2 linked regions of the Styela clava genome follow. The protein of the gene in region 1 interacts with the protein of each later gene in a pairwise test. Links are inferred from orthologs where the notes say so. Each region holds a gene or a part of one and is shown on either strand. Other genes may lie near its edges.

Evidence for each region.
Region 2: the proteins of MICOS complex subunit Mic60-like (region 1) and prefoldin subunit 1-like interact in a two-hybrid assay, tested with the Homo sapiens proteins (2 studies listed by BioGRID and IntAct). The link is inferred for Styela clava from reciprocal best matches to the Homo sapiens genes IMMT and PFDN1.

What each region holds. Positions count from the first base shown.
Region 1 is NC_135250.1:12,331,165-12,338,646, reverse strand, and holds MICOS complex subunit Mic60-like, read left to right. Parts: upstream 1-4,473; 5' UTR 4,474-4,675; coding exon 4,676-7,048; 3' UTR 7,049-7,473; downstream 7,474-7,482. UniProt on the Homo sapiens protein: Component of the MICOS complex, a large protein complex of the mitochondrial inner membrane that plays crucial roles in the maintenance of crista junctions, inner membrane architecture, and formation of contact sites to the outer membrane.
Region 2 is NC_135255.1:20,572,649-20,580,166, forward strand, and holds prefoldin subunit 1-like, read left to right. Parts: upstream 1-4,735; 5' UTR 4,736-4,774; coding exon 4,775-5,128; 3' UTR 5,129-7,002; downstream 7,003-7,518. UniProt on the Homo sapiens protein: Binds specifically to cytosolic chaperonin (c-CPN) and transfers target proteins to it. Binds to nascent polypeptide chain and promotes folding in an environment in which there are many competing pathways for nonnative proteins.

The DNA of each region.
Region 1 (7,482 bases):
ATTGCTAATATGATGATAATATATATTGTTTAAGTTTGGAACGAAATTCTGAGTTCGATTTTGAATTTTTGATGTCATCGGGTAGGGAATTCCAAGCTTTTGGTCCACATACTGCGATTGATTCTTGTGAAATACTTTTACTGACAAATGGAATAAAAAAATTATCTTTATTTCTGCTGTTTGAATTTGGGTTTGCTTGGAACAGGCTGTTCAGGCTGGTCGGAAGCTCTCCAATGTGACAAGAGAACATCATATTACATAGTTCGAATTTAGCTAAATCCACAACTCGTAGTAGCCTATGCTCTTTAAATAAGTCATCAATTTTTTCGCGATTACCTCTATGAAAAACTCTTCTAATAAAGCGATTGCAAACACTTTGAATTTTTTTGAGAATGGACGATTGGCGATGAACATAAGCTGAGGCACAATAACGAATATGGCTTTCTATCAGAGAGTGGTATAGAGATATTAAACAAGATGTATTTAAGTAGTTGGCTATTTTCGTAATGGCACTAAGAGACGACCTTGTTTTCGATAGAACCATATTGGTGTGTTGTTTCCAAGACAATTTATCATCGATCATTACACCCAGAAAGCGAGTCTGATTAACTCTTTCTATATTTATTCCATTTAATTCCAAATTTTGTTGCAGAGTTGGACACTTTTGCTTCGGGGTGCTAAATATCATATATTTAGTTTTATCGACATTAATAGTGAGTTTGTTCGCAGACAACCAAGCTTGAATATTTTCTAAGTCGGTATTTGCCTTGGTCAAAAGTTCAGGCAAGTTTTTGCCTCGAAGATATGGCGTTGAGTCATCAGCAAAAAGCAAAAAGTATGTGCATTGGAGCGTATCAGGAAATACAATCTTTCGCCTGTAGTCTCATGGAGTGACGTCAGAGTCGCCTATCATGTTGTTTCATGTCATTGGTCCGAGTAACAGAGAAAAAATCATTCTGCGATTTTGTTGATAGTGAGTATCAACGGCTATTACAGCATGGCAACACTCGGTTTTCCCTTTATTACCTGCTTTGCAAAGGATTACGGAACTGTTTGAAAGCTTGATAAGTTATTCAAATTCTCAAGAAGGATGTCCTACTCTTATGCTTAAATGTTCCAGCGTACGAACTTCACTTGAAATTCATCCTTTGCCAGCTCACCTACTTCAACAAAATTATTTTAATTTTGAAAAAAGATAATACTAATGCCGTAGATCAGGGGTCGGCAACTTACGGTTCCAGGGCCGGATTCGGCCCGCAGAATATTATAATCCGGCTCGTGACGCTTCACTAAATTATAGTAACAAAACAGCCGTTTTGACGATTATATTTTTTAAACTAAATTATATTATAACCTAACAAGTATATAATTCACAACTACTCGTTTAATGAGCCTATAATTTAATTATAATTAGACAAATGGCAACAAAACGCAGAAAAATGATGCGAAGTTCAAAGGGTTCAATGGCGCTGAAAATATTCAAATGCAATTTTTTGCGATGCAATGAGGATGTATTACTGCTTGATTTTTATTATAAAAAGTATCATCCATTCGGTTCCAGCTTTCTAAAAATATGTACGGCCCGACAATGACTCGCAACCCTTAATTTTGTCCCGCGAGCGACAAAAGGTTGCCGACCCCTGCCGTAGATGTCAGAGGTGAAGCTAAATTTGAAGGAAAAAGGGTGAAGTCTTTTAATTCCGTCGCAATAACTTGTACTTCTGGAATCCTTGGAACGCTCTGGCGAAATCGACGTAACTGTATTTAAAAAGAATGTTTGCGGTATACAAAGCAGCATGATGAAGCCTACAATGCTCCCCGGGCCCCACATATGGACAAATTCGAAGGGTGATTTAAACTGGACTAAAGTGTTTGGTTTGCAAAATGGATAAATGATATGTTCGGTTAGCTAGTCAGGTTTTGAATAGAGATGCACTTTTCGACGAATACTGATAAAGAGATATTTATCTGAGCATGGTTCAAATGCAATTTGGCTCACTTTGCGGTTGAATTTAAGTGGACAGAGATGTTTAACGTTTTTTCTAACAGAAATATTAGCATTTCGAATTTGCAGAAACTCATTGATTTTGTTTGCCGGAACATCGGCATCTGTTGAACAGATTTTCTTCATTGTTAAAATTTTCTGGCCTGGAAGCAGGTTCAGAATGCCAGAAGAAAATATAAAAGCACTCGTAACCTGCAAATTTAATGGTGATGTCTCTTGTTATCAGTTTTATGACAAAATCAAAACAAGAATTTTTGAGAAGGGTTCCATCTGCGAACAAATACTTTTGGTCTAAATAAATAATACAAACTATTTTTTTGTGTTTTTTCTAATTCAATATTACAAAGACTGGCAATCAACCGAATGTTTGCCAAATCGCACCGTCCCGGTTTTTTGTTTCAGATTTATGGTAAGCCTAGCTATACTATCCATCAATACAATTTCAGCAAAAGACTTTAATGGTAATATATACAGCCATTGCTCTTACAATTATGCACTCAATGGGCTTATTTTGTTGGTAACGTTTTTTATATAGTACAAGAGAGCTATGCTCAAATATATGGACACGTAGCATAGTGGCAAATTGTGATGGCGTCATAGCACGCAAAAAAACGATAAATGAAAGTGATAGCCTTCCAGCGAAAAATATAATTTTTAGACACTGAAAATTTCGATTTCAGCCTGCTTCATGCTACGTCAACTTAAGTGTATTTAGAGAAAGTGGATGGGCATTACCAGTCTGGATATTGCCTATTGTTTTGAACACATTTCATAGTTCAATTGTAAAATTTTAATAAATTAAACAAAAATAAATACTTGTAGCAAACTAACATGTATGGTATTTTGTGGTTAAATTTACTACTTTTTTGAGAGTTACCGTTTGTAATTCATTGTAGTTGTAATTCAAAATAAAAGGAAAAAATCAGGCAGGCTGCATGTGAAATTTAAGAAGCTTACTAAAGTTTGGCACGTTTACAATATTCGTATAATTGGAACACAAATTAATGTTTAAAACCAATGACTATGGCCTTTGATTTAAATAAATTATAAGCTATATATTAGAGACTATGTTGGGTTAATTATCATTACATAAGCGTGCTACCGTGTTTTCCCGATAATAATACCTACCCTGAAAATAAGATCTAGCCTGAATTTTAAAAATGATTTTAATATGAGCCCTCCCGTTAAAAGACCTAGTCAACAACGCAAATTTATTTTTACCCAGTCGATAGCAAGAAATCCCTCCTACACGTTTTAAATGATTGATAGTCTATGTTTTACAGTTATTTTGACTGAAAACGTGTTATTCAAAAGTAAATAGATATTAGTTTTCATATTTTGTACATTTAAAAATCTCGTAGTTCTATACTTTGTAATTTTGTTTTTGATAAATGAAAATATAAGACATCCCCCGAAAATAAGCCCTAGTGGTATTTTTTTGGAAGAAACTTGAAATAAGACCCAGTCCTATTTTCGGGGAAACACGGTACGTAATATCAACTTAGATTTTAGACAGAGTGTTCTTTTCATATTCCACGGGAAAGGAAAGCACATATGTTTTGTTGATCATATGATTTCGGACTGAAGACGTGCGCTTACTGGCTTTTCCAAAGTGCAAATTTGATAAACCAATTTAGTTTTATTATTGCACACTGTTCATTAGATCAACGTGTGCCGCAGTCGATCACGCCATGTATGCATAGAAATTGGGAACAGTAACCGCAAAATGATAATGGAATCGGATGCGTTGTTTACTGTCTTTTTCAATCTGCTGTCAATACAAAAATAAACATTTCGTTTGTTTTATTAGTATATTTTTGCTTTTGTTCACGTTTGTTTTTGGTTGACGAATCAATAAATCTCTCTTTGTCTATGTGCTTGTAGGAATTCAATACATTCCGAGCATCTATCTTCTTTTGCAATTTAAACTCGCCACTACATTTAATGCCTCAACAAGTGAGAGGAGACAACAAGAGTTTAATTATTTTTGTTACACCATCCTTTACTGCAATACATCAAATACGTCTACTTCTACATTGCCATGCATAAGCTTTACACTTTATACAAATTTTCGGACCTCCAGAAGTATGTGCATCAAGATGACGTACAACCTGAACATAGTGTGTGTAACAGGTTAGGGTTCAGGTTGTGCGCCATCTTGGTGCACATACTTCGGGAGCGCCCAAATTTTATATGAACTACAGTGTCTGCGGTAGCGTGAATATTGATTTTGCATGCGTTGGTATTACGATTCGTGTAAAGAAGTTGACCAAGAGGATTTTTAAAACTTCCAAATTTATTTTATATTCATTGAATTCCAGGTATTTCATCGGTCAACTTATGTTTGTCGTAGGTTATTATTATTTATTTACGGTTAAACCGTAGTAGTATATATTTACGGTTAAACATCGAAAAGATTTGATTCATGCCCATTAATTCTGTCATCGTTCCACCGTATTAGCAAAGCCATTATATAATGGCTCTGGTATACGGTAAGTCTTCATTTACGGTTCCACGAAATGCGAAATTTGAGCAGCGACACTCGCAGCGGTCACACATGCGACTTCACTCCGCGAGGTTTGTTGGTTTTGTTTCTTACAAGCAGACAAGTGTCAGACGCCGATGGACTTCGAATCTCAGTGAGCGGCGTGTATTTATTTGTAAATCGTCATGTTGCGGATTAGAAATCGGTTGGGATGGCCTCGGAGGACTTATCAAAATATTACCGGGAGAAGGAAGTTATCAACTACCGCATCTAACTCTAGCAGCCCCGTTGTTATTGCGGGCGCAACAGTTTTATCTGGTGGTTTAGTTGCAGTTGGTGCTGCTTGGCAGTTTCCGTCGTTCAGAGAAAGTGCTGAATTGAATTTTCCACCTGCAAAATACTTATTTAATCCCATTTTGGGGCCGCTGAATAAATCGATAGAAGCTGTCCCGAAAATTAAACAGTCCAACAGAAAAGTAGGTGATGTCTTTGAATCAAGTTTGAAAGAGGCAAGAAAAATTAAAGAAAAGACTGAAGCGAAGTTGGAAGATGAAAAAGTGACTGCTTCTCATGATGAGAGACAGGAAATTTTATCTAAACAACCAATTGAAGATGAAAGTTCTGCAACCGGTGGTATTTTGTCAGAGTCTGAAGTGAATATTCCCCAAGCAGTATCTGAACCAGTTCCAGAAATGCCGACTTTAACGAATGATGAGGTACAACCAATAAAAGAGCTAGTGACGGACGTTGAAACTGAACAGATTGGTGAAAAAGAAATACAGAATGCACCACAGTTGTTGCCTGTTACAACACCAAGTGATTCTTTACCAGATAAAGATGGGAATCATTTAGAACGTACACCTGAAGAAGTCTCACATAATATCATAAAACTGGAGGAAGATGTTATTGCAGATACTGCTGCAATATTGACAATACTGGATGACGCTTTGTCATCTTGTGCACAACGTTGCTTGGAGGCTATCGATAGTAACCTAGAAGCATCTAAAGCGATTGCTTTACATACATCTCTTCTTAAAAGTGCTATGGATGAAAAGGAAACCAGTTCTGAGGAAAAGAAAAACCAGTGGACGGATGTTTCAAGAGTTCTTGAGCAAAAATCGAGACTCCAGCAGGAGGCAGAAAACCTAAGCCAAGATGCTCGACAGGAATTATCAAAATTGGGTGCGATTATATCTGAAATTAAACGGTTCAATAATTCAGATGCAAATCAAAAAATAATTAGTGCTGAAGAAAACTGTAATGCTATGCGCAAGGAATTAGAAAATGCTTGTAGAGAAGTCAATATTAAGCTTTCAGAGTCACATGTTATTTCACAATACAAAGATTTGATCGAAACAGCAAAAGAACAATTTCGTCAGGAGCTTATGTCTGTCATGCCTGATGTTAACGTTGAGTCTGGGTGGCGAAAATTGAGCCAGAAGCTTTCTCAAGACGATCTTAATGCCCTGATTGCCCATGCGCATCGTAGAGTTGATCAATTGCAAAGAGAACTTGCAGAGGAGCGTGCAATATCAGTGAGCAGAATGGAGATGGCTGTACGAGCAGCAAGGGAAAAGTGGGACGAGCAGACTGTTATAGAAACTGAAAGAAAAATGGAATTGCTAAAGCAGGAAAGTGAAGTCGAATATGAAAAAAAACTTGAAGAAGCAAGACAAACTTTTGAACGAGAAATGAGAGTGCAACTGAAACGGCAAGCTGCAGCGCATTCTGAACATCTTGCTGACATGCTTGGAATACAGGAAAAGCAAGTCAGGAAAGAACTGGATATGGAAATGAAACAAAAACTGGAAGAACAGGAGGAAAATTTCTTAGCACAAATGGAAAAGGTAAAAGAAAAGTATGAAGATGAATTGCATGAAATAACGGATAAGTTTCAGTTTGATTTGAACAAAGCACTTTCAAAAGTAGCGGGTATTGAAACTGCAATTGACGGTCGAGCACACATTGAGAATGAGTCTCGGAAGGCACAAGAGTTATGGCTTGCTTGCGAAGCTCTTCGAATTGCTGTGCAATATGGTGATGACGGTAAACCAGTTCCTCTGGAAAAGGAATTACAGGCTATTTCACAAGTTGATGGTATAGAGTCGCAGATATTAGAAGTAATCAAAGCATTTCCCGAGCGTGCTAGCGACTCTGGTGTTTACCCTGAAGAAGCGATACGTCTTGCTTTCAAGCAAGTATCAAAAATGTGTAGACGTCTGTCTCTGATCAACGAAACAAGAAATTCATTTTTTTCATATTTTCTTTCATATTTAAAGTCACTTTTAATCGTAAATCGTGCCCAAGCAGAGCCTCCACAGAATTTGGATCCCAAAGAGTTAGATACTTTTAAAATTTTGTCCTATGCGGCGTATTGTTTGGATCGTGGTGATTTGGAGCAAGCTGCAAGGTTTATGAACCAACTTAAAGGTGAATCAAGAAGAATTGCTGAGGGATGGCTTAAAGAAGCTAGATTATTGCTTGAAACCAAACAAACCTTGCAAGTTTTATCAAGCCTTGCATCTGCGTCAAGTATCGCCGCAAATCTAGAAGTATGAGAATGCTCGAAATTTATAGCAGCATCTTTTTTCATCAAACTCAGATTTACAAATGTTTATATCTGCATGTTTTGAAATTTATGTTGTCAACTGTAATATTTTGGTGAAATGCTATTTGATTTTTTTATTTGTCAGTGAGGTTTATCACATCTTTCTCCAGACCAGGCTCTGTGCAAGCAGCCATTGATATGTAATGAGCCATGGAACAGTTAGAATTTCCTTTTCAAAATAGCCCAGAAAATTTGGAAGCGTTTTGTGAAGTAAGTGGTGGGCAGAAAGATCTCAAACCTGTGACACCAACATAGTGAATAATAAATCTTATGTGTTAGCCACTAGGATCAGGGTGCATGCTTTAATAAGTTGAAAGTATTGCTTTCTTTTTTGATTATTTAAATGTCAATCTGATAAAAATATGTTAAATCTGGTGCTTGGTG
Region 2 (7,518 bases), on another chromosome or scaffold:
TGTAAGACATTTTTCATTGTTTTATACAATTTGCATCTTATTCCAAGTTTAATTAACACACAGTATCGGTGTTTGGAAAAGTAAGAAAACGGAATATTACGATATTAGGTGAGTTTATTTGAAATACCAAACCTTTTTAAAATATGTGAACATCTACGCTATTCAAATAATTGAGATATACGCTATGTTTGGTATTATAAATGGCCAAGTCAAAACGTGCTGCTACTGTTATGGTATAGTGAAGTCGAATCTAAAAGGTATTTGCTTTTTTCCGAATGTGTCGTAGTGCTGCCTTTATTGGCGGTTTTCGAGAAATCGCCCTTTCAAAAACGATTATTTTTCGGAATTCTGAAAAGAACCCATTAAAGAAAGCGTAAAATGTTTTTTTTTATATTTTAAACTTTCCCAATTAATTCTTAGTTTAATAAACGTACAGTATTCATTTGTGACAAAGAGTAAAATATATTTGATCAATTTTCCAGCAGCTTCAGTTGAAATACAAATCCATCTTAAATTTGTTACGTCTACATTGTTTAAAAAATTGAGAATACACGCTATTTTGGTATTATATATAGCCAAGTCAAAACATGCTGTCACTGTTTTGTTATAGTGAAATCAAATCTATAGGGTATCTACGTTTCTCCGAATGTGTCGTAGTGCTGCCTTCATTGGCGGTTTTCGAGAAATCGCCCTTCCAAAATCAATAATTTTTCGAAATTTTGAAAAGAATCCACGAGAGGGCGTAAAATGTTTTTTTGGTATTTTATACTTTTCTTCTGCAACTCATTCTAAGTTTAATAGACGTACAGTATTAATGTGTGACGAAGAGAAAAATATATATTTTATCGATTGTTCAGCAAATTTAGTTGACATACAATTCCTTTTTAAATTTGTTTCGTCCACATTGTTCATAAAATTGAAGAGTATACGCTATGATTGGTATTATATATGGCAAAGTCAAAACGTGATGCTACCGTTCTGACATAATAAAATTGAATCCATAAGGTATGTGCTTTTCTCTGAATGTGTCGTGATGCTGCCTTTATTGGCGGTTTTTGAGAAATCACCAATCCAAAAACGATAATTTTCGAAATTCTCAAACTAATTCAAGTGGGTGCGCAACATTTTTTTTTATTATTACTTCATACTTTCTGAAACTTATTCTAAGTTTAATATACGTACAGTATTAATGTGTGACGAAGAGAAAAATATATATTTTATCAATTGTTCAGCAAATTTAGTTGACATACAATTCCTTTTTAAATTTGTTTCGTCCACATTGTTCATAAAATTGAAGAGTATACGCTATGTTTGGTATTATATATGAAAAAGTTAAAACCTGATGCTACCGTTCTGACATAATAAAATTGAATCTATAAGGTATGTGCTTTTCTCTGAATGTATCGTGATGCTGCCTTTATTGGCGGTTTTTGAGAAATCACCAATCCAAAAACGATAATTTTCGAAATTCTCAAACTAATTCAAGCGGGGCGCGAAATTTTTTTTATTATTACTTTATACTTTCTGAAACTTATTCTAAGTTTATTAGCGTACAGTATTGATGTGCGACAAAGAGAAAAAGATATTTGATCAATTATTCTGCAACTTTAGTTGAAATACAAACCCTTTTTTAATATGTTACGTACCGTTGTTTTAAAAATCGAGGAATATACGCTATGTTTGGTATTATATATGGCCAAGTCAAAACGTGCTGCTACTGTTCTGGCATAATAAAATCGAATCTATAATGTATGTGCTTTTATCCGAATATGTCGTAGTGCTGCCTTTATTGGCGGTTTTCGAGAAATCGCCATTTTAAAAACGATAATTTTTTGTAATCCAGGACAGAATCCACTAGGAGTCGCAAATGTTTTTTTGCTGTTTTATACTTCCCGCAACGTATTCCAAGTTTAAAAGATGTACAGTATTAATGTGTGACAAAGAGAAAATTATATTTGATCCATTGTCTAGCAATTTTAGTTGAAATACAAAATCAATTTTAAGTTTGTTACGTCCATGCCGTTATTAAAATTTAGATTACACGATATGTTTGGTAATATATATGGTCAAGCCAAAACGTGCTGCTACTGTTCTGTTATAAAAAAATCGAATTTATAGGGTATCTGCTTTTCTCCAAATGTGTCGTGGTGCTGCCTTTATTGGCGGTTTTCGAGGAATCGAGGTTCCAAAAAGGATAATTTTCCGAAACTTTGTATTTGCGGAATGCCTGAAAATTCATTTTTCGCTTAGTTAGTCTTTTTTTAAACACTATTTTCTTATTAAATTTAATGTATTATTTTAGTTTAAAGATTTTTCATCTATTTTCGTGCCAATATTATATTTTGATCAGCATTTTCATTTTTCATATTTACATATAAGTGAACATTATATTCGCGTGGAACCTATATTCAATGTGTAAAAATATTCTGGCTGAAAGTGCTGCTAGCTTCACAGTGGTGTCGCGGGGTTTTAAAATCGGCCATCGAACTTTACAGAAAAATTATAAATTCACGCAAAATTGTTATGTTCACTTCAATAAAGATTAACTCCTGTTGTTTCGTGCGTTTCTGAATTTAAATTGTATGTATTGTTCAATTTATAATATTTAATATTTTTGTGGAATATAAATATTCTGATTTATTGAAAAGGCATATTTACAATCATCAATTTAAATAAAATATTATCTTTCAAAATAATTTTTTTAATTCAATTGTGAACACTTAATATTCCCGTGTGCTCCATATTGCAAATTATTTATGTCAAACCGTTACCAGGGGAGGTATTCAGATGTTTCAGTTTCAGGTGATTTTGTTTGAAATTTATGGGTTAGAATTTGTATTTTTATCCCCGCGGAGAGGAAAGTTGTCTTAATTATTTATTATTGTTATGTAAAAAGATTCTGAATTTGTGTCTCATTTGTTTTGGATTTGTGTTTTTACACAGACTGTGTATAATTATATTTTTTCTCCGTCATTAAAAATAAGTACCGGTACCGTATTTGCTCGTTTTGTAGCCCGGGCCCATATTTGTTTAACCAAACACACTGACCGGGCCCTTATTCAATCATAGACGCTTGTTATTTTTAAAGTAAAATTGCGACGCCCTATCAATATTAAAACGACGCACTTGGGCGTCGCGACGCCCAGTTTGAGAACCACGGTGTTAAGTAATCAATGCTATCTGTTATGTAAATGGACGCCTGAAAGTAAGGCGTGAGTGTTATCTACCAGCGCTTAGAATTCGACAGCGTTGTGACAAAAGCGCTTCTTATTTCCTATTGCTGTATTGTTCTCTACCACTGAAAAATCAGCTTTTACATCGGGCGGGTATTCAAGCACCGGCCCTTATTTATTTTTATGTTCTGTTCACACGGGCGTCTATTCAAACGGGCCCTTGATTAAGATCGGGCGGTAAAACGAGCATATACGGTAAGTTAATTGTGTGTTGAAAAATAAATACAAAACTTGCGTTTTATTAGGGTCTCCTGAAGTACACGCCGCAAGTACTTCTAGTTGCAAGTGCAGTTTTAAGTATTCTATGGCGTCTGCAGCTGCCGCAAAACCATGGCGGTATTTCCATACCATGGCCGCTACAGCCAAACCTACGGCGAATGACTTTTTAGCTGCCACAAACCAATGTCGAGCTGCCGCTACCGCGGCAGCAAATTAAAAACCAATGGCAGGTAAAATTTTGCTGCTGTAACCGCGGCAGGTGGGCCGTAAGGACAGGGCTGTCCCTTATGGTGACAAATATTGGGTAAGTTGGAACGTTTTTCTTATGGATACAGTCTTGATGCATTTGGGGTTAGGGTTAGGGTTTAAGAAGATATAATTCCGCATGATCAATTAGAATTTGGTACATTAGTTTGTGAATATACCGTTAATACTGATTACTGAATACAGAATAGCGCTATAAAACCATGGCAAGAGCTGCCGCGGTTCGTTCGTGGCAGGAGCTGCCATGAAGTGGTAAGAACTGCGCCTCTCTAGTTGGCCTGGCACAACGATTGTTTCATATGTCATTTCCAACCCCCACCTGCAGAATTGACTACGTCATCCGAAAATTACATCACTGCGAAGTCACAGTGACGCAATACGGCCCTCCAAAGTATACGGATGGTCACGCAGACAATCATCTGAAATCGAGCAAGCTATTTTTCTCGCCGAAACGATACACAGATAAGATCGCTGACATAGGTGTGTTCATTATAGTCGCCAATTTGAACAATCACAGCTATACTTTAGCAAGCTCTATGCGATTGTGACGTCGCAGTGATGTAATTTTTGGGTGACGTACTCAGGTGGGGGTTAGGAATATTATATTTATAAAATCATTATGCTACATCCACTACAAGTACTTGAGGGCGCGTACTTCAGGAGACCCTTTCATTAGACCTAAATGATCAATGCTATTCAAATGTATCCATTGTACAACGTGATGCAAAAAATCATAATCCCAAGCTTCACGTAATTGCCGGTCGATTACGGCTTCCTTCGTCAGCAAATCCATGCATCTGAAACAAATAACTGGCTAACTAATCCAATACCCGACGTGGACTGGTAACCAGACGAGAGGCCGAGGTTCGCCATATGATTGAGTCGTATTATTGGTTTTCCTCTCCAGGATAAATATGTAAATCCTTTCCTAATTCCACATATGACGTAGACAAGAGGCGGTGACACACCATATGATTGTGCCATCTTATAAAGAAATATAACTTTCCATCTTTTTGTTTATAGTTGTCTGTATCTAACGTATTACCCAGTATATAATCATGGATATGGAACTGAAACAAGCTTTCGCGGACCTACAGCGTAAAATGGTCGAAACGCAGTCACAAATGAAAATAGCGGATGCACAAATCATGCAATTAGGACGCGAAAAGAAACGTTCTGAGCTTACTGCAAGCGAAATTAGTGGTCTGCCATCAGAAACAAGATTATTTCAAAGCGTAGGGCGAATGTTTTTGCTTCGAACACGAGACGAAATCGACCAAAATTTAAAAGCTTCACAAGAAAATTCAGACACGAAAGTTAAAGAACTCGAAGCGAAGAAAAAATATTTAGAAAAAACTGTCAAAGAAAGTGAAGAAAACCTTCGTGAAATGGTTTCTCAACGAAGGAAATGAAACTTCCATTTCAATAACTGATTTATATTATCTTCAACAAAAAAATGCATGCAAAATGAAAAACAGAAAACTCCAGGCCATTTCATAAATAAAATGGGACATGGTCTGCTTGGAATTAGGGCTGAAAGCCTCAATTTTAATATGAGCATGATGCTTCTCAAAAAATATGGTTTCCAAAAGCCATACTATTTCAATAACTGATAGATATTATATTCAACAAAAAATGCATGTTAAATGAAAACCATGTTTCTCGCTAAAGATTGAAATTGTGTGAGTCAACCTGGTTTGGATTAGGTTCAAAAGCCTTAATTTGGCCCAATTTATATCTAAAAATAATATATATTTAAAAATAATGCTACTCAAAAATAAATGTTTCGAAACCTATTTTAACTGTTATTATTTTCAAATGAAAATATGTCCATAGAATGAAAAGTACGAAAAGACTGGGACATATTGAAAATAAAATAGGACTTTGTCTGGTAGAAATTGGGTCTGAAAGTCTCATTTTTTTAATCTGGTTCAATGTATATTTAAAAATAATGCTGCTCATGAAATCGTGGCAGGAAAAAATTACTTCTTCTATCTTTGCAGTGTGTGAATGTTTTTCATTTTGATATCAAATTTCTGTTTATCAGGCATATTCTTTGTTTATTCACCATGGTTTCTCCAAACTGTTACAAAGCTTATTTTATTCTGAGATGTTGTGCTCTCTAATTTCATTGATTGAGAAAATGTATTCTTCATTTTAGCACCTACAAATATTTAGAAAGTCTTGAAATTTATTAAAATTGCAAAGGTAATTTATCGACATCATATATTGTTTTGGCCCTCGCAGATGTATTAAATGAAGTGAAAATACTGATTAAAAAACAATTACTGATTAAAAAACAACAAACATGAAACTCCATAACAAAATTGAAATTGTAAAGGGATTTTATGGACACCCTGTATATCAATATACATCACTGATCCATGTCATGAAATTTCCTATACTTCAGATAGCCAATACAGATTCAAATAACTTTGTATAGTTAGTTGTCAATTTTATTTGGACGCCACTTATATATTAGAAGTGCATGTGGAATCGAAAAGTCTTGTTGAAACTAAGTTAAATTCAACAATAATGCTGCACAAATCAGATAACCAAATTGCTTTTTGTATATTTGCAGTTTTTAATTTTGATGCAGAATCTCACATATATTATGATACCCAACCTGACATGTGCACTCTATTGGCGCCCCCCCCCCCCCCCTCCTCAAAAAATACTCTGAACCACACCCTTGCAATAGAATATATATTTGAGAGTATTGGTCTGTAATGAAATATGATGCATAAATGGCAGCAGCATCAACATTCTTGGAATCAAATGCGGTGATTCGGTTTAGGGTTGGATTATCCGGATAGCGGTTAACCGGATAACCGATTAACCAAGAGGTATTTTGCTATCTGATAACCGGATATTATTGTAACGGTTAACCGGATAATAGAGCAGTATAAATAATGCATATGCGCATTAGTGATTTTTATATTTTTTGTTGAGTGGCCAATGACATCTCTCAGAGCATATAATATTCACTTATATCCACACCACTCTGCATATTTCAGTCATCCGTGTAATGCTGGAGTGAACTTGACTATAGTATTACATCACAAAACACGCAGAAAAATGTGATTATTGCGTATTTGCGGTATAGAAGAGCCCGACTTACCTTAAAATAAAAGCATTTCTACTCTAGATATGAAAACAAATGGTAAGCTGCACGAACAAATCCAATTTTCTATTTTTGCTATCTTGAAAATTCATCAAATTTGAGCTATTATTGCAATTCCAATGAGTATAATTTATTTAGTACAATAAATGCAGATATTAATTAGCTTATAGTTATATATCAACATTTTCGGGAGAAAAGTCGGGTTCAGTTTCGTCGGTATATAACGCCGATAATTGTTTTATTTCGCCCGGAACTGAAATGGCCGCAGTATGTTATCTATCGTCGTATCTATCTATCGTTAAGAGAGTAGATCTGAAACACACATTTTTGACTGACAATAAGGAATTGAATGCTAACGAAAATACCACGACTCTTGATTTATGAGCCAGTGATAGATAAAACAAGACTCTATTTTAGGCGCTGTTGAATCGCCAAAATTTCGTAATAATCGTATTTACTGAATTTACAACAAGGGTAACTTTTCACGGGATGTAACTTCTTTTCAAATTAAAACTGGCATAATGCCGATGTTAATTCCCCAAATAATAACGCGATGCGGAAGAAAACGATCGGCGATGATAACACAATTAGCCTGCAAAATTCGACCGACGTTTTCGAAAATTTCAAAATGAGGAGGAAAGGCTGTTATTACATTTATGGTTTTCATGGAACTTTCAC